3 linked regions of the Sus scrofa genome follow. The protein of the gene in region 2 interacts with the protein of the main gene of each other region in a biochemical or structural test. Links are inferred from orthologs where the notes say so. Each region holds a gene or a part of one and is shown on either strand. Other genes may lie near its edges. The genes, in order: UBE2C, RNF7 and UBE2F.

The links.
Region 1: the proteins of RNF7 (region 2) and UBE2C form a complex in vitro, tested with the Homo sapiens proteins (4 studies listed by BioGRID). The link is inferred for Sus scrofa from reciprocal best matches to the Homo sapiens genes RNF7 and UBE2C.
Region 3: the proteins of RNF7 (region 2) and UBE2F form a complex in vitro, tested with the Homo sapiens proteins (10 studies listed by BioGRID, with this or other methods). The link is inferred for Sus scrofa from reciprocal best matches to the Homo sapiens genes RNF7 and UBE2F.

Annotation. Positions count from the first base shown.
Region 1 is NC_010459.5:48,016,128-48,021,842, reverse strand, and holds UBE2C (ubiquitin-conjugating enzyme E2 C), read right to left. Parts: upstream 3,441-5,715; 5' UTR 3,355-3,440; coding exon 3,254-3,354; intron 2,711-3,253; coding exon 2,683-2,710; intron 1,908-2,682; coding exon 1,821-1,907; intron 1,389-1,820; coding exon 1,184-1,388; intron 1,071-1,183; coding exon 1,011-1,070; intron 574-1,010; coding exon 515-573; 3' UTR 301-514; downstream 1-300. Other genes in the region: DNTTIP1 (deoxynucleotidyltransferase terminal-interacting protein 1), read right to left, coding at 4,510-4,648, 4,762-4,817. UniProt on the Homo sapiens protein: Accepts ubiquitin from the E1 complex and catalyzes its covalent attachment to other proteins. In vitro catalyzes 'Lys-11'- and 'Lys-48'-linked polyubiquitination.
Region 2 is NC_010455.5:82,546,219-82,552,186, reverse strand, and holds the start of RNF7 (RING-box protein 2), read right to left. Parts: upstream 3,713-5,968; 5' UTR 3,568-3,712; coding exon 3,393-3,567; intron 1-3,392. UniProt on the Homo sapiens protein: Catalytic component of multiple cullin-5-RING E3 ubiquitin-protein ligase complexes (ECS complexes), which mediate the ubiquitination and subsequent proteasomal degradation of target proteins.
Region 3 is NC_010457.5:137,564,896-137,570,877, reverse strand, and holds the start of UBE2F (NEDD8-conjugating enzyme UBE2F), read right to left. Parts: upstream 3,625-5,982; 5' UTR 3,479-3,624; intron 3,268-3,478; exon of another isoform or gene 2,889-3,267; intron 1-2,888. UniProt on the Homo sapiens protein: Accepts the ubiquitin-like protein NEDD8 from the UBA3-NAE1 E1 complex and catalyzes its covalent attachment to other proteins. Together with the E3 ubiquitin ligase RNF7/RBX2, specifically neddylates cullin-5 (CUL5).

The sequences.
Region 1 (5,715 bases), on a different chromosome or scaffold from region 2:
AGGTCTGGTTCAGCCTCATCTGCAACTGGGACTGTCCCTAAATTAACCAATCCTCCTGGTGTCCCCCCTCCATAGAAATCGGCATTTTGCGACGCCCATCTTACAGATGAGGAAACAGATGCAGAGTCATAAAATAACCAAAGTCACAGGGGACGAATTCTATGACCCCACTGCTCAGCCCTCCAGCCTCTCAGCTGCTCCTACACCCTGGGTAGAGGAGCAGGGCCAGAACCCAGACCCTAAGCCCGACCTCTGCAGAGCCTGAGCACTTCCAACCCTAGGGTGACTAGGGGACATAACTTGTTTAAAAACCCCCAAATGTATTTATTTAATATATTCATCACAAGGGCTTAGCCGGACACTTAATTTAAAAAAACAGAAACAAAAATGACAGCACAGATAAGGTATACACAGATAAGGTACAGAGTCCTGTACAGAAATCAAGGAAAGGACAGACCATCTAAGGAAAAATAATAAAAAAAGACAACACAGGGAGAGAGCTGGACAGCCTGGGTCAGGGCTCCTGGCTGGAGACCTGCTTGGAGTAGGTTTCCTGCAGGTACTTCTTAAAGGCTGGAAGAGAACGAGGAGGTCTCAGTAAGCCATGGGCACAAGGGTTAAGGTTGGCAAGAGGGCAGCAAGGATACAGCTGTGGGAGGAGTTTGGGGGGTTGGGGAAGGGTTTCCCAGCCCAACAGAACTGTCCCCCGGCTGCCCACCCAGCTGGGGAGGAGACTTGGGGCCCTCAGCAAGCAAGTTGTTCGCACAAAGCTTTGCCTTCTACTGAAAAAGCCCCTCAACCTACATGAATGCGACAAATTCTGATTTTATAGCAAACAGGCAAACCAGAAACACCAAGGCAGAGGTGGAACTGGGTTACCTGGTTGAACCCCCCCCACCCCCCAGTCATCCAGACACATTCCCAAGTCACTGGAATCCTTCAGTAGCTGGGGGGAGCCTTTGATGGTTGGGGAGGGATGGCTCGGTGCCTGAGAAGGATGAAGGACCCACCTGTGGGGTTTTTCCAGAGCTCGGCGGCATGTGTGTTCAGAGGGCTATCGATGTTGGGTTCTGTGGATGGAGACAAAGAGCAAGGTCAGGTCGGGGTAGAAGAGGCTAGAAGAGGCTGTCCAACCCGGGAACAGGCTCCCAGGTTGGGGGGGAGAGGCCGTCTCCGCAGTCACCTCCGAGCAGGCTCTGGATGGAGAGCAGGATGGTCCTGACGTCATACAGGGCGGACCACTTGTCTTTCAGGATGTCCAGGCAGATGTTTCCTTGGGTGTCCACGTTGGGGTGGTAGCAGGGCGTGAGGAACTTCACTGTGGGCGCGTTGTAAGGGTAGCCGCTGGGGAACTCCAGAGAGAGCTTATACCTCAGGTCTTCATATACCTGGAGAGAGAGAGACTGGGGAGTAAGCCTCTTTGCCTGAGCCTCAGTTCCAGCTCAGGCCCCACGTAAGGGGCTTGTCAAGACCCCCGAGTTTGTCTGGGACTCGGCAGAAGACAAAGCATTAAACTGGTGGTGCCTTCCCGCCTAGCTGGTGGGACATTGCGACCCTTTGGGCGAGGGCCCACTGGCCTAAACCCTCAATTGCCCTTCATTCTTTTCCTTGCCGTCTGGCCCCTGGAAGTAGCTAAGATGGAGACCCCGCCTTACTGCGCGGATGGAGAGCAGGGCCACAGGCTCAGGGCTCCAGGAAGACACAGGGGAGTGTCCCACCAGGTGAGAAGACTCAACGCAGAACTGGCACCTGGATTTCACCTCCCACCTCTCCCCAGACTCTGCAGAGTCACCCTCACCTACTCCGACCCCTACACTTACTGTGCCGGCTGCTCCATGGATGGTCCCCACCCATTTGAAAAGGTTGTCTGACTCAGGGAAGGCAGAAATTCCTTTGTCGCCAGACATCTGGGGAAGAAACACAACACTTGCTGGGCTGAAGAGTGAGTGTGCTCTTGCAGGGGAGGGTGTGGGTGAGGGAGCCCCTGCCCCTTAACCTCATCACATCTGGACCCAGAATGGAGCAACCAGGCCAAATTGATTGATAGGCTCTTCTGAGGAAGTGGGGAGATCCTGGGGGCTGAATGTGCCCCCCGGGAGGACTGGGATTAGGTTTATCACCAGCCTAAGAGGGAGGGGTTGTGTGGGGGAAGAAGAAGGCAGCTTTGTATCCACAATTTTGCTGGTTGCTGGGAATTCAATTTGACATGCCATTGAGTGCTGGTTGGACACAAAGCCCAGAGACTATTCACAGGCTGGGAAGATAAACAGCGTGGGCACTGAAGGATTTGAGTTGAATATCCAGGGTTAATGTAGAAAAGACTGGCCCGAAGGAAGCATTCCAAGGTAGGATGGGATTAGAAATATTTAGGATGAAGAGTTGGGTGTAGGTAAATTTTAGGACAGGGAAGTAGAGCCAGGAAGGACAGAGGGAAGGCCTCGTAAGAGAGCTGTACTTTAAGGATAACTTCTTTGTGGCAAGATGGGACTGGGAGTAAAGATGCCTGGGGGGAAGATGTGTAGGTGGGGTGTGTTAACTTCTTCCCAGAGGAGAGCAAGCTGGACTCATCTTTTTACCCCATGCCTATCAAAGAGCCGGAGCTAGGAAAGGAGGCTACTGATAAGTGACTGGGAGGTGGGAGGGGAGACCAACTGGTTGGGTATCCGGGCACCAGTCACTTACCATGAGGGTCATCAGTTCCTGCTGTAGCCTGTGAAAAGAGCATCTGGGGGTCATCTGAGAGTCCAGGGCTCCAGGAGGTGCATCTCTTCCCATCCCAATCTCTCTGGAGCAGCTGTCACGGAGGTTTCCCTCTACCCTGAGGTCGGACTTAGCTGTGGGCATGGTCACCCCCATTTCCACAGGGGGGTCTTAGTGAGTCCACACCCTTCCTAATGCCAGGCTCCCGGAAGGAGAGCTCTGGCTTATTCTTAACCCCTAATTCTGCTTCTCTGGCGTCTCTCTCTGTGCAGGATCTCAATTTCTCACCTTCTAGCCCCCTTCCCCGCCGCCCTCCAGCCAAGCCACAGAGGGTCCCCAGGGCATCTTCATCTTGGCTCATCCACGGAGGATCCTGGCAGCATCCCTACCCCTTCTGTCGTCCTTCAGAAGTAGGCGATCTCCTGGCGTGTACCTCTACCTCTCATACCTCAGCTGCTCCAGGAGAATGTGGGGGTCCCCGGAAGTCTTTGCTCTGGGCTTCAAATGCCTAGGGCGTGCCAGGCCCGGCAAGTGTTCCCTCGGCACCACTCACCTCTTGCCCACGGGGCCCCGAGCGGCACCCCCGCTGGGCTCGGCTCCTTTACGGGCGGCCGCGAAACTGGCGGCGGCTGGGTCGCGGTTCTGGGAAGCCATCTGGGCAGCGCTGGGAGGGAGACAGGATCTCAGGGTATCCGGAGACCACGGCTGCAACTGCAGGGCCGCGGTCCCGCCCGCCCGCGTTTGAATTGTAACCCTCCGGAGGTGCCGGCCAATCAGTGGCTCGCTTGGGTTTAATCCAGCCAATGGGGCGCTCTGTCACTGCTGCATCCACCCACCAGCGCACCACTATTGGGCGGCTGGATCCCTCTTCAGATGGGCGATTGGTAAGAGAGGCTGTCATTAACTAACGAATCTGTAGTGGATTGGTGGCCTTTGGAAAACGCCGACCATTAAATGGCCTAGAAGACATCCACGTGGGATGAATCCCTTGGCTACTACCGCACGCCGGCTTAGGACTCCCTGCTCGCAGAAGGGAGGGTCTCCGATTTCGGGGCCCTGGTACTTATCCCCCAAACCGGATACCCCAGCTCCTCCACTTGTTATTAATGTCCTGGGCACTTTGGTTAGGGCCTTAAGGGTCTGAACCGTCAGGCGAGGGTAAAAACTAGTGGCCGAGGGCCAGAGCCAGAGACCCCCTACTGGAAAACAGGTTCAACGGTGGCCTCTCCAACGGCTTCCTGTGCTACCCTAGGCACTTAATTTCGTGTTTTAACCTTAAAACGGGGGTAATAAAAGCCGCCTTACATTTTCCTGCTGGTTTGTCATCAAATGTCCATGATCCCAGCCGTCACATTCTGCTACTCCCATGCCTTAGTTGGGTGAGGAGATAAACAGGGACAGGAAAGGCTGGCAGCAAGGTACAGGCTGTTCCCAGTTTCTCACGGAGCAGATACGCACAGGCCACTGGGCTTCCTGGGATGGGGGAGGGGTGCTTGGGCCTTTATTCCCTACACCCACTTCCTCTAGGGAGAGCCCTTGATATTTTGTCAGCCCCCAGAGGCAGACTTCACAGCAGGCTCACCATCTGTGTTTATTACAAACTGTTTAATTGCTTCTTATCCCAAAAACTTTACAAATATAGAACCACATGCCAGTCTGGGGGTGCTCTGCAGTGAGTCACTACAAACTAGCCCAGGCATAGCTTAATGCTGCTGAGATCCATCTAGAAGCAGTCCCAGCAGTGACCTCAGCCATGTGGGTAAGAGGGCCTTAAAGGAGGGCTGCCAAGTGTAGCCAGGGGACCTGGCTTCAGGTCTGTGGAGGTGCTTCAACAGCGCGGTGCTCGTTCTCTGTCCGTAGTGTCTCCATGTACTTTCGCATCTTCTCAACCATCCAGGAGGGTAGGACAAAGGACTTCAGCTCCTCTAACTTCAGGTCCAGGCATCCTCTGGGACAGACATTGAAGAGGAGAGTTGGAGCAAGGGAAGATGTAGGTCCAGGCTCATCCCAGGGGCTACTGTGAGGCAGGGGGAAGGGTAGGGGACAGACCGCTGGTTTTACCTGTAGTCATCGCTGGCAGCGAGGTCCCGGATGTCCTCCTCAATGAGGAGGTAGGCCTGGGGCAGGAACAAAGGAGAGTGGTCACTGCCTATGATTCGTTTCATTCCAACTCAATTAACACTTTATTAAACGTCTGCTTAAGGTAAGGGCTAGAAGGGAGGAGTGGAGTCATAGCTTGTAATTTAGCAAGGGAGAGCAAGAAGGGAGAGGCTGTCTGGGGAATAGTTTCTTGAGATAATTTTTCTTTCAAGTAGAGACTAATTTATGGGCCGGAGAGTGGGGATTACTGACTTATTTTTGGCTGTCACCTCTTTAAAAAAGGGCCATGGGGTGGCTTACAGTGAAAGAGCCACAGAGCTAGCAAAATAAACATGGAAACAGGAAGTCAGGAGGAAGCCACGTGTGAACTCTTGAATGAAGATAATTTGGTTTTGAACTTCATGGCAAAAGGGAAAACACGATAAACCACACTGTCTAGTAACTGGGCTATGCTGTCCTGGGGCCTGCAGAACTGCTCTGGCCCCAGGCCGCCATCTGCAGGGGGAGGGAGCCCGCTTGTGAGGGCTCTTACCACATGGGGGATGTTGATCACATGCGAAAGTCTTCTGTGGAAGACATTTCTTTCCAGTGTGAGGGTCAAGAGTAATTGTGTGTCCCCTGAGTCATACGACTGTCTTCATCTTAGGGGCACTGTGAACTATGAAACAGATCAGGTGTCCTTAAGTGGGGCCTGGAGCTGAATTTGTAAAAACCTGTAGAAGGGCACTGGTCTCCCAGGCTGGCAAGTAATCCCATGCCATTCCCCACCCCCACCCTCCTTTTTTAAAACCAGTCTTGTTTGTGGCTTATTTTAGATCCTGCTTTTCCTTTTCTCCCTTTTTCTTATTTATATTATGTGTCAATGGTAAGCTTCCTGATGTCTTTTTTGAAAGAGTATAGCATAGACACCAAAAG
Region 2 (5,968 bases):
CCCTTTACAAATATGTCTGAGGCCAAAGCATTTACCTAATGGTAAAGTATTTTAATAAATTACTTGGGAGTAAATATGAGGAGTGGGAACAAAAGGGCATACTACAAGTTTTCAAAATTCAGTCAGTATTAATTGCTTGATGGAGGTAATAAAGAATATTGTAAGAACCAATTAAATGGATTCATTCACTAGCTGAAAGGAGTCAAACCTGGGTAAAAGGAAGTTTAAACCAACAGAAAAAATAAGTTTTAAACATAAATTGGAGAAAAATAATTCTGTAAAAATAGAAATAGTGGAGTTGAAGCCTGCTTCTCTTCTTACATTAGATTTTGCTCAGGCATTTGTTTGCACCACTCTGCATGGTCTTCCCTTAAAAAACCACACCACCCTGGCCTCTTCAGTGTGGATTACAAACAACCAACATCTCCTGACGACTTCTTCAATTCCACAATTACTGAGTATTTCCTCTGTGCAAAGAGTTATGCCCTCAGGACACCAAAATGATCGAGTCTGGATCCCTGCTCTCACCAGCAAATGGGGAGGTAGAGAGGCAAACAACTACATATAAGGATCATGATATCAGGGTGAAGACAAGGCCCTGATTCTGTGCAATCAGAGAATTACAGTTAATGACCCCAATTGCCTTTTTTACAAATTGGGAAAACAAGGCTCCAAAAGGTTATGTCAAATGTCCCAGTTAACATGCAGCTCTCGGTTTTTTTTTTTTTTTGGTCTTTTTTACCTTTTCTAGGGTTGCTCCCGTGTAATACGGAGGTTCCCAGGCTAGGGGTCTAATCGGAGCTGCAGCCACTGGCCTACACCAGAGCCACAGCAACTCGGGATCCGAGCCGCATCTGTGACCTACACCACAGCTCATAGCAACACTGGATCCTTAACCCATTGAGCAAGGCCAGGGATCGAACCTCATGGTTCCTAGTCAGATTCGTTAACCACTGAGCCACAACGGGAACTCCAGCTCTCGCTCTTTATACCTCTACAGTACTAGCAAACCTATTCCCCTTTTCCTTGTCAGTGCTTGCTCACTGTGTCATTTGCTCCTTTCAGAATGAAGGGGGTGGGGGTGGGGAAGAGTGGAAACAAGGAAGTGTTAACTACATCAGAATGGGTGGACAGGTAAATCTTAGATCAAGAAGTCATAAAAATTTTGAAATAACCTACAATGGAAAAGAATCTGAAAAAAAAAGTGTGTGTGTGTGTGTATTTGAATCACTTTGCTGTACACCTGAAACACTTTTAATCAACTACAATAAATTTTTTTAAAAAAGAAGTCATAACAAATCATTTAGATGTATGAGATGAATTCTGAATTCCAAATATTAAGGAAGTGGGATTAGATAGGCTCTTTGTAGAATCTAAAAATCTCTGAATTATGCTTATAGCTTTGATTTAATTATTTAAAAAAAAAACAACTGACCTAAATGTATAAAAATTCCTAAAGTTTCAGATAAAAGAAAACATTTTTCCTTTGGTGATATTCCTAATATCTAAAACAGCACATTTCTAAGGAGTACAATAACAGTAACACCTTTAAGAATGACGCTACCCTAAGGATTGGCAAGTCTATAAAACTTCCTTCTGCCGTCACCTGACCACTAAGTGGATTTTAACACCTTATAATCAAAATATAGAGGTCTAGTCCAGAATACTTTCCTGAATCCAAAGTACAGCTGTTGTAAATCTGCAACATTAATCCACAGTAGCGGAATACTTGCTATAATTAGAAAGTTAATGTGCCTGTTAAGTCATTTAGAGCCCATACTTTGACCAGGAAGGTTTATTTGCTGCCAAATTTCAACCATTATTTAAAACTCTGCATTTCTATTTACAAATTTAAAATTTTTCCCTGGGGAGAAGAAGAAAATAACCTTTCAGAAAAACCTCTTTTTTTAATCACTTAGGGGATAAAATTTTTAACAAAGTTTTTTCTCATAAAAGAACAAAAATTGTTTGGATAAGTCAAAAATGCCACTCAAAGCAGAAATTATGATTTCAGTTTTTAAGTAAGGAGTAGGGTAAGGGGGCTGTATTGCAGGCCAATAAACAAGGTATTTTTAAAACCTAATATGCAAAACACGTGGATCATGTCTGAAATAAAATTCTTTTAAAAGTAAAAAAATAAATATATGATATCTCATTGTTGTAAATCTGCTTTTAAAATGAGTCCTTATTTTATGAATAAAAAACAAGAAAACATACTACAGAGAGGGTAAATGAAGAAACCTCTTGATTCTGGCAGTTCTGAATTTTCATTCCTCAAGAAGGGAGAGTGATTTTTTTTTTTTTTTTAGATTTTATTTTTTCTTTTATAGTTGATTTGGTTCCTAGTCGGATTCATTTCTGCTGCGCCACGAAGGGAACTCCTTATAGTTGATTTGAGAGCAATTTTTGAGTTATTTTCTCCAAAACTCTGATTTTTCGGTTTAAGATGTAAAAGCTTTCAAACTATAGAAACCTCGGTTTCATTTAAGATGCTCTCACAGTGATTTTAAATGCCCTATTAAAAAAAATAAGGATGCATTTAAACAGCATCTCTTTTTCAAGGTGTTCTGAGATCTTAGAACAGAAACCATATAAAATATAACAGGATGAAGCTGTCCCGAAAGGTTTCACTTGGTCCAATATTTTTAAAAAAATTTATAGAAAGAAGTGACTTATTTGTAAAAGAAAATTCTCCACAAAGGCCTATCAGGACACTGTCTTCTCCAGGAAATGGCATCCTTTGATAGCGTAGGGCCAGGAATGAGATTAAAATTTATGTTTCTGAATAAAGGGCTTAACATTCTTCTTCAAGACAAGCTACTGCCATCTGACCAGTCTTGAATCATCCAAGTTTTAAAGCCAGCAGAACAGTAGCTAATCCCGAAAGGCAACAGCTAGGGACACTTCTTTCCTGCGCCTCTCCGGAACAAGACTAAGAGTCATTACTGTGGAAGATGACTCCAGAGCATCACTCTGGTGTGTGAAAAGAAGCATTAAAACGACCCGCTGACTCAGGGCCTTGACCGTGACCTCTACAGTTTGCTTTTAGAAAAGGGTGGCGAGGTTGGGCCCACAAACCAAAGTGGTGCCTCGCAGCTCCCATCAACTCACCTACTTTTATTGTCTTGACCACACCCATCACTACCTGAAATTACCTTTTTAACTGCCCTGCTTTCCACCTGTTTCGTTCCCCAGACTACCAGTCCCCGTCGCCGGCCGCAGCCCTCCGACTAGCAGCAGCACGGGCGTGGCCCCAGTCTTTCGCTCCCAGGCAGGGCGACCCCGCCCCTATACCTCCAGGAACAGTCTCTCCGAGGCTCGGTGTGTCCCACGGGCCGGAGCTGGGCCCGCGGAGGCCGCAGCACAGCCAGGGTCTCGAGTGCAGCGCTTACCCATCACCTGGACCCTGCAGATGGCGCACGTATCGCACTCCACGTCCCAGCTCCACATGGCCACCGCGTTCCACTTCTTCAGAGAGAACATCTTGTCGCCTCCCGACTTGGTTCCTGAGCTACCGGAGTGAGAGGACAGGGCGCAGGGCTCCTCGCCGTCTTCCACGTCTGCCATGGCGGCGGCGCGAAGCCGGCGGCGGAGACGTTAGGTTGCGGAAGGCGGGCGACTATGGCGGCTCCCTGGGGCCCCTCGCCGGGCCACAGCGCCGCCCGCAGGCTGCGGGCCACCGTGGGGCCTACGACGGAGGCCGCCCGAGACTGGCTGGCGCGTCCCAGTGACGTCACCGCCCCCGCGCCCTGGGCCCGGCCCGCTCCGACTCTTTGGCCAAGAATGGGCGCCGCGCTCAGGAGGGTTGCCGGTGCAGGAAGCAGGTGTTCTGCTTTATGCCTTCGTGACCCTTCTGGCTCTCACAAGTTGTCATATTGATGTACTCCCTTCCTAAATGAAAACGCCATCGGAGCGAGGACGTGACTTGATCACCACCTTCTCCTGGGTATGTGAAAAATGCCTGGCCTCAGGAGGGGTAGTTATTTGTTGAGTGAATGAATGACTATCTTTTAGAAATCTGGTTCAGCCGTTCTCAAACTTTTTGGTCTTGGCACCCCTTTACACTTAAGAATCACTGGAACATTAAAGAACTTTCGGTTTGTAAAATATGTGTACACACAAACACACACTTTTTTTTTAAGAAATACGAAAAAAATTTTAATGTATTCACTTAAAAAATAACCATAGGAGTTCCTGTTGTGGTTAAGCGATGAGGAACCCGACTAGTATCTAGTATACATGAGAATGCAGGTTCAATCCCTGGCCTTGCTCAGTGGATCGGTGTTGTTGTGAGCTGTGGTGTAGGCTGGTAGCTGTATCCGATTCAGCCCCTAGCCTGGGAACTTCCATATGCCACAGGTGTGCCCCCACCCCCCGCCCCCGCAAGGAAAAGCAATAAACCCATTACAAGTAATCATTAGAACAAGGATATCACATATCTTGTAGCTTTTATAAAACTCCACTGTATACTCACAGGAGAAAGTGAAGAGAAATAGCGGTGAATATTGTTATGCAAATACTTTTGACCTTGTTTCCCCTGAAAGGATCCCAGGAACCCCCGGGGACCACACTCTGAGAACCTCTATCTAGTCCAACATCCTCCTTTTATTGATAGGAATGTTGAGGTCCAGAAAAATAAGATAAAGACACACCATTATTCCCTAAAGGTAACTGTTTTGAATCCAGGGTTCTTCTGCATCTAGCCCGGGGTCATATTATTATGTTTTCCCAAGCAAAGCAGATAACATCTCTATTTAAATAAGAAAGCTGTGGTATGGAGAGCCCACGAAGATGCCTGATCACCACTACCACCTAGTGGTGGACACCTGCTGTGTCGGGTTTGGAATTCAGAGCCTCCCACCTTTTCCTACTGGGCCTCATCCCCTCCTCTCCTGATGTCTGGATGGGGGCTAGAAGCTCCAGAAATCTGGCGGAGGAGGCAAGGAAGCATATATGTGTGAAAATATAAATGTGGATACATTTGGGTCACATTTGGCTAGATGCTGATGGAAGAGGTGACGTTTGAACTGGGGGAAGATGGGAGGCATCGGAGGCCCGGAAGTGGGTGGAGAAAGCAAACCTCTGCAAGGCTGTCAGGTTGAACAGAGCAGTAGTAGTGGTGGCAGATGTAAAGTTGACCCCACTAAGTTTATGAGCCAGACAAAAATGCCTGTAAACAAACCCAGATGAACCATAAAGGACACACATTTTACTCACATTAAGCTACCACACATCTGACTAGAGATGCTATAAATGCCAGATAGTTAATTTAAAAAAGAAGGCTAGAACCAGATGAGGATAAAATGCCCCCAGTTGGGGGGAACTGGGCAGTTTGAAAGAGAAAAGGAGGGAACTCAGATGAAAGGCTAGAGGATGATTAAGAATGAGAAATGGTAGGAGTTCCCTCTCATGGCTCAGTGGGTTAAGGACCTGGCATTGTCACTGCTCTGGCTCAGGTTACAGCTGTAGTATGTTCAATCCCTGTCCCTTCTGCATGCCCTGGGTGTGGCCAAAAAAGAAGGGGACAAGGAATGGTACATGCTTATGCCTCATCTGAACCTCTTCACTCTGTTCCTGGCTTATTGTGTCCTGACTTCTTGTCTGGCCTCCCCATTCAATCTAAAGTGCCTGTTTAATCTGCTTAGATCCCCCTTTCCACCTGACACTAGCCTGCTCAAAATGTTCCATGGCTCTCCATTATCATCAGAACAAAATCTAAATGTCCCAGCTGGTCCTTTAAATCCTGCCACAGTATGGCCCCAACCTACCTTTCTAATGTTATCTCCAAGCACTCCTCTCTGAGACCCTCATCAGATTAGTTGATTCAGCCATCCAAAGACACCTTAGACTCTTCTCTTCCCCCGACTCCATTTAACATCTCTGGAAGTGGTCAGAACCTCCCTCTGTCTGCTCTAACTACATTGCGTTTGCTGTGAGGAAAACTAATTTTCGTGTCCTTACTGACCAC
Region 3 (5,982 bases), on a different chromosome or scaffold from region 2:
GAATCTGCCTTCTCTACGTGAGCCACCCTTCACCTGGCAGGCCTCCTAGCCCTTCTCGCTTGTTTTACCAGCTGGAGAGAAGTTCTGGAACTTCTTTTGATTGAGGATGAAAATTGGTCACCAGCTCAACATTCCCATACTTTCCTTTGTGGCTTTAACATAATTTCCTTCTGATACCACTCTGATCATTTTCAAAAGAAAATGATCTAAAACTTCCGGATGAAAAACGGACGTGAGCACACAACGCTTGGTTTGAGTTCAAGATCTTTAAAGGCGAACCGTGAGAGTAACCTACTCCCACTGGTATTTTTAACCACTCTAACCCAGGTCCTCACAGAGCTTTTACACCATCTTCTGTGTACCCTCCAGCCCTTAAAGACGGTCGGACTTCATTTTCTGTTATGTGTACCATGAAAACAACGTATTAAATATGGCCTTTTGAACTAACTGCACAGGACCCACGCACAGACACACACACGCCTGGTCCCCTCATGCACCCCTGGTCTAAGTGCTTCAAGAGACAGTTCCACCTGACAGGAGCGCTCACAAGCTCCTAGAATTTCCAATCTGGGGAGGACTTCTCCCCCAGATCCCACTCTTTGTCATGGGTGTGGACCCTGGGACACCTGGGGCCCAGGAACTGGGCTGTCGGAGGCCACTCAGAGGCTACAAGAGGTCACCGCAGACCCGCTCGTTTCCCTCTGAGGATGACGGGAATGTTTCCGCCCCGAACAAGGGGGTGATTTCAGGCTATACACACACCAAAGTCCGATCAAACTGCATGTTTAAATATGTACAGGTCAGCGTGCTTCAGCTGTCCCTCAGTCAAGGTGACGAGACGTGACAGTTTCTTCACTCCCACTCTGCCACGCTCTCTCCTCAGCTGGACCTACACGGAGGACCAAACCACCAACGCTCAGCTCAGCTTCACCTGCGGCAGGAACCAGGGGCTCACAAAGGAAGCTCACCAGGGAGGGCGCCGGGGAGCCAGGAACGCCTGTGGGGGCTCAGCCCACAAGCCACCAGAGGCCGCAGCACCGTCTGGAGCCGGGCGCTCCTGGTCGGCCTCCACCCGCACCATCTGGCCCGCGATCCCTCGCGCAGGTCTGGATCCCAAGCAGTGTGTCCCCCCCCCCAGCAAGCCCCTGCCTCGCACCCACGCCTGAGCACATGGATGCGTCGCCTGATGATAGGCCGAGAGATGCAGCTGTCACAGGTCCACTTGGTCTTCAGCCGCTAGCGGACCCTGGCACTACGCACACGGCCAGCAACAAAGCCCAGCACCGGTAGAGAGAGCTCGGCAGGCGGCAGCCCGGGAAAGTCCTCCTACGGGGCCCGGCGGGAAAGCGGGTCCCAGGGCACGCGACTGGTCCACGCTCAGCTCCTTGAGCACCTGCACAGGAGGAGATGCTCAGAGGGTCCCGGCAAGACTCACACACACACACACAAAGGCTCACACCCGGACACTCTTCCGTGTCGCTGCAGTTGGAGGTCCCTGCTTAATTCGCGTCTCCTCACTACCCCATCCTGAACTCTTCGCTGCAGGCAGAGTGTGCCCCATACTCAATCCCATTTTGAGTCAGACTGCTGGTTTGCAACTCTCAACAAGTTTATGGCCCTTAATAAAATACACTGGGCACTGGCTGTGCAAGACAGAAGAAAATAACACCGGTGCTTTGTTTTCCTCAGGAAGACAAGACTTATTTTCCTAACATTCTAAGCCATCTACACACGGGGACCATCTATCCTCCAGCGCCTGTCCCTCTCCCACACACGCCACTTCGGGACAAACCAAAGGTCTAATCTGGGACTACTTCAGCTGTTAAATTAAGTCTATACAAAGAGATCTGAACAAAAATAATTATTCAAGCTGTCAATTAACGGAACACCTGCAGTTTGCTTCAGAAGTCTCTCCTTAACTATGCTTCCCGCCTTGCAGGACTGGTTCAAAACTAAGCTTCCCCTTCACTGCAAATGACACTTTGACGAGGGCAGCATTTTCAGTAACAACAGATCAACTACACAGAAGAGCACCCACAGTCTCTAACTCCACTAGTTGAAATCGGGCCATTTAAGTTCTTCCTCTGGGCGGGACGTGCTCTCAGACTGTTCAGAGATTCTGCTGTGCTATTTCCTAGTCTCATCCTCAAGTGTTTACTCAGTGCTCCTGCCCGTTGTGGCCAAATCAGGTCCGGGTGACCGTCAGCTCAGTGGGTGGGGAACTCCTCGTTTACAATTCTTCCTGCCCTGGACAAGTCCCAATCGAAGCTTAAAAGATGGAACTGCAGGTCACTAGGGGACAACCCACATCTCCAGCCAAAGCGGCCCAGATCGGGACACACAAAAGTCCACACCCCACCCTCCCTCTTTAAAACGCCAGGGCAAGGTGGCTGGCTGCCCAGTGACCTTTGGAGCCCAGCCCTTTAATTTTAGCGGTAAACCTGCCGCCTCCTGAGTGGCAGCTGTGTCGGGGGTGGAGGTCCTCAAGTCCAGACCACCTAGGTGGCCGTGGTCTCTCTCTCTGAACACGGCTCCCACCATTCCGGTCCCCTGCCTTCACCCCCTTGCCCAGCCAGGGGCCTCTGCACGAGGGAGGTGGGCCTCCTCCGTGTTCCTCGCCAACCCCGGCTCATTTCTGGAAGCTTCTGCTCAATCTGATATCCAGGTCTGGAAGGCCCTCCCTCCCTTCGCCGCCCCTAATGCTGCTTCTTTAGGATAACAGGCTCCTCCATCTCCTCCACGAAGCCTTCTCTGGCCACTCCAGTCCCTCCCGACCCCACTCCGGCGCTGGACGGAGGCAGAGAGGGGCGGGCCCGATCCGCTCCGGGGACAGAAGGAAGAGGCAACCGCGACCCAGGGAGCCGAGGGCCACACCCAAGATTACACACCAGCGGAACCAGGTCTAGAATCCGGGACTGGGCCGTAGGGATTGGTCCAGGATGTCCTCCCCCATTCTGGGCCCCGGCAAGATCCTCCACCCTAGCCGTGCTGCCCCGGGTTGTCCGGAGGCCGCCCGCAAGTTGGCGGGGCGGGAGCCCGGCTCCTCCGCACCCGCACCGCCCCCTGGCCTAGCCCGATTCCCCGGGAGGCCGGGAGGCCGCCCGCCCGCGCCCGACTCCCGCTGCCTCCGGCCACGTCGGGCCGGTGACCTTGGGCCCGCTGGGCGCTGCGCTTCCTCCCCGACAATGCGGCCGCAGCTCCCCCGCGACGGCGGCCACAAGCGAGGCCGTGTGTGCCCGGCACAGGTCGGGGCTCCGGGAGGGCCGGCCCTCCAGCCCCGCCGCGGCCCGCGCCCCGGCCCGCGCCCCGCAGCGCCCGCCCACCGGCCCTCGGGCCCCGGCGCCCGGTCGTGAGGAGCGGCGCGGCCTGAGGCGGCCCCGGCGCCGCCCGCCCGCCGGGTGCACCGGCGCCGCGGGAACCGAGCCGTCCTCTGGCCGGCGGCCGCCCCTCGCTCGCCGCAGGGCCGCGCGCTCCTCACCTGGGCACCCGGAGACAGGCGAGGCGGGACCGGCGCCCAACACCATGCCCGGCCGGCCGGCGGCGGCGAAGCGCAGCCCCTCACAGCAGCACCGGCTCCGGGCGGCGGGACCGGAAGTAGCGGGGCGGGGACTCTGCCGCTCTCGCCCGCGGCGGCCGCAACAGCAGCTGGCGCTTTAAAAAAAAAATTCAAAGCCGCGAAGAACTTTATTTAGAGACTGACACGCGAACAGCAGAGCCAGCGGGCCGGGGCCGGGGTAGGCAGCCGGCAGATCCGGCCCCTCTCATTGGCAAGGAGCGCGGCTGGGGGGCGGGCACGAGCCTGAAGGCCTCCGATGATTGGCCAATGGCGTCCGGGGGCGGGATCTCCAAGTCCTTTCCGCAGCGGCGCGGGTTCCTTTGCGCTGCGTTCCTGCTTTCATTCATTTGGTCGTTTGGTAGGCCTGGGCCTGCGGCTCAGAGGTTCCCCGCGCAGCGTGGCCTGCTGGGGCTGCCAGGTCCGAACTGACTGCCCCGGTGGATGGGGTGCCCGCTATGTGCCCATCCCAGGGCTCAGGGTGCAGAGGACCAGGCCGCCCCACAGTCCGCGGTGTCAGGAGTGAGGGGGGCGGGGCGATTAGACCTGCAGCCACCAACCCCCAACCCCGGGAAGCCTCGGGGAGCCTGCAGTGGAGTGGGTGGGCTCTTTCCTGTTGTCTTAGGGTTTATTCCTTCTATTATCTCTTACACTTCCGTGACGTACTTACTTTAAAAAAATCCATTTCAAGTTGTTCTAATTTCTGGTTTGCTGAGTACTAATTATTCTCAAGTTCAGGTGTGTCTGGTTAATAGGTGCTCTGGCGGGGGTCGCCAGCCTCCTGGAGGAGTGAGCCATCTGAGAGAAGAGGTTCACCTCGTGGACGGGGAAGAAAGAGGCAAGGAGTTAGAATTTTATTTCCAGAAGTCCCACTGAGAGGTTTTAAACAGTGGAGTGGCAATTTCAAGTTTCTTTTCCAAAAGAGCCTTCTGGCTCTGAGGGAGCTGGTGGGAGGGGAGCCAGACAAGAGTCAGGAAGACCAGTTAAGAACAAAATTCATGGGATTCCTTCTGTCTGGGAACAGCTTCGTCCATCTTCACTGGGCTACCTCCTAAATTTTCCCATGCTTGGATCCACCTGCTCCGAGTGGTAAGGTGCAGGTGCCCCTCTGTGACTTTGCTGGACCTCCGTGCTCTCCTCTCCCTGGTGCTCAAGACTGTTGATGCCCGTTTCCCTATGCTCAGCTCCTCAGGCCTCCTCATCTGTGTTTCCCACCCTTCTAACCTCCTCCCCAAACCTGGTACATAACCGGGTCAAAACACATTGCTGGATAAGGGCTGCGTGTTTGTAGCCAGAGTCCTGGCGAGAGAAGATAAGACCTTGAAGCAGGGCAGCGAGTGAAGGCACACGTGGGTTGGCTTGAGCGCTTGTCTTACTAAGGAGAATTGTCTACACACCGTTCTGAGCCCACAGTGGCCCACCTCTCACTGCTGTGGGCAAATGAAGCCGCTTCTAGCTCCATTTCATGAGGCTGCCTCGTGCCTTCACCCGAGCCTTATTTAGGGTTTACTAGGCTCGGAAGTCCTGTAATCCTCACAGCAACCTCATGAAACGGGTATTTTATTATCTCCACCTTACAGATGAGGAAGCTCAGAAGTTACGTGTCTGCCCGACATGGCAGAGCTGGGATTTGCCCTCAACCAGTGCACCACGTCCCTTGGGCAGCAGGTGCGGCCATCAGCCAGGACTGCGGCAGAGTTGGCGTCCTGCTTCCTGGAGAAGCAATTTGTTTTCAACCAGGGCTCTTTCAGAAACAGAACTTTCACTGGCTTAAGCACAAAAGATTCAGAAGACTAGACATGCTCAGAGACTCTAAGGAGAGAACGGGGAGCCTGGCCTCCAGCTCTCAGTGCCTCCATCTGGGTCTTGGCCTGGGACAGGGGCAGTGGCGGGGCTGGCCTTCTCCTCCCAGATGCCTCCAGAACTGGGGTCTGGCTTCAAACACACCTTTATAAACCAGGCCATAGAGGGGCCGTCTCTTCCCTTCCAGTTTCACATTCTCTGGGAGAGAATGGCTGGGTTCAGATCATGTGCTCACCGTGTGTGTGTGTGTGTGTGTGTGTGTGTGTGTGTGTGTGTGTGTGTGTGTGTGTGTGTGTGTGTGTGTGTGTGTGTGTGTGTGTGTGTGTGTGTGTGTGTGTGTGTGTGTGTGTGTGTGTGTGTGTGTGTGTGTGTGTGTGTGTGTGTGTGTGTGTGTGTGTGTGTGTGTGTGTGTGTGTGTGTGTAAGCCCATACATACAGGAGGAGGGGGAAGAGGACCAATTGTGGGCCTACGATAGGGAAGAACCTTTGTATTCTGTTACAAGTTAATCAGTAAAGGCATGGTGCCTATAAGCTTAAATTATACACAATGGCCCATCTCTGGGGACCTCGCCTCCCAGCAATGAGCATCGCACTCAAATGCCTTTGTTTCCTTCCGAGGAAACCTC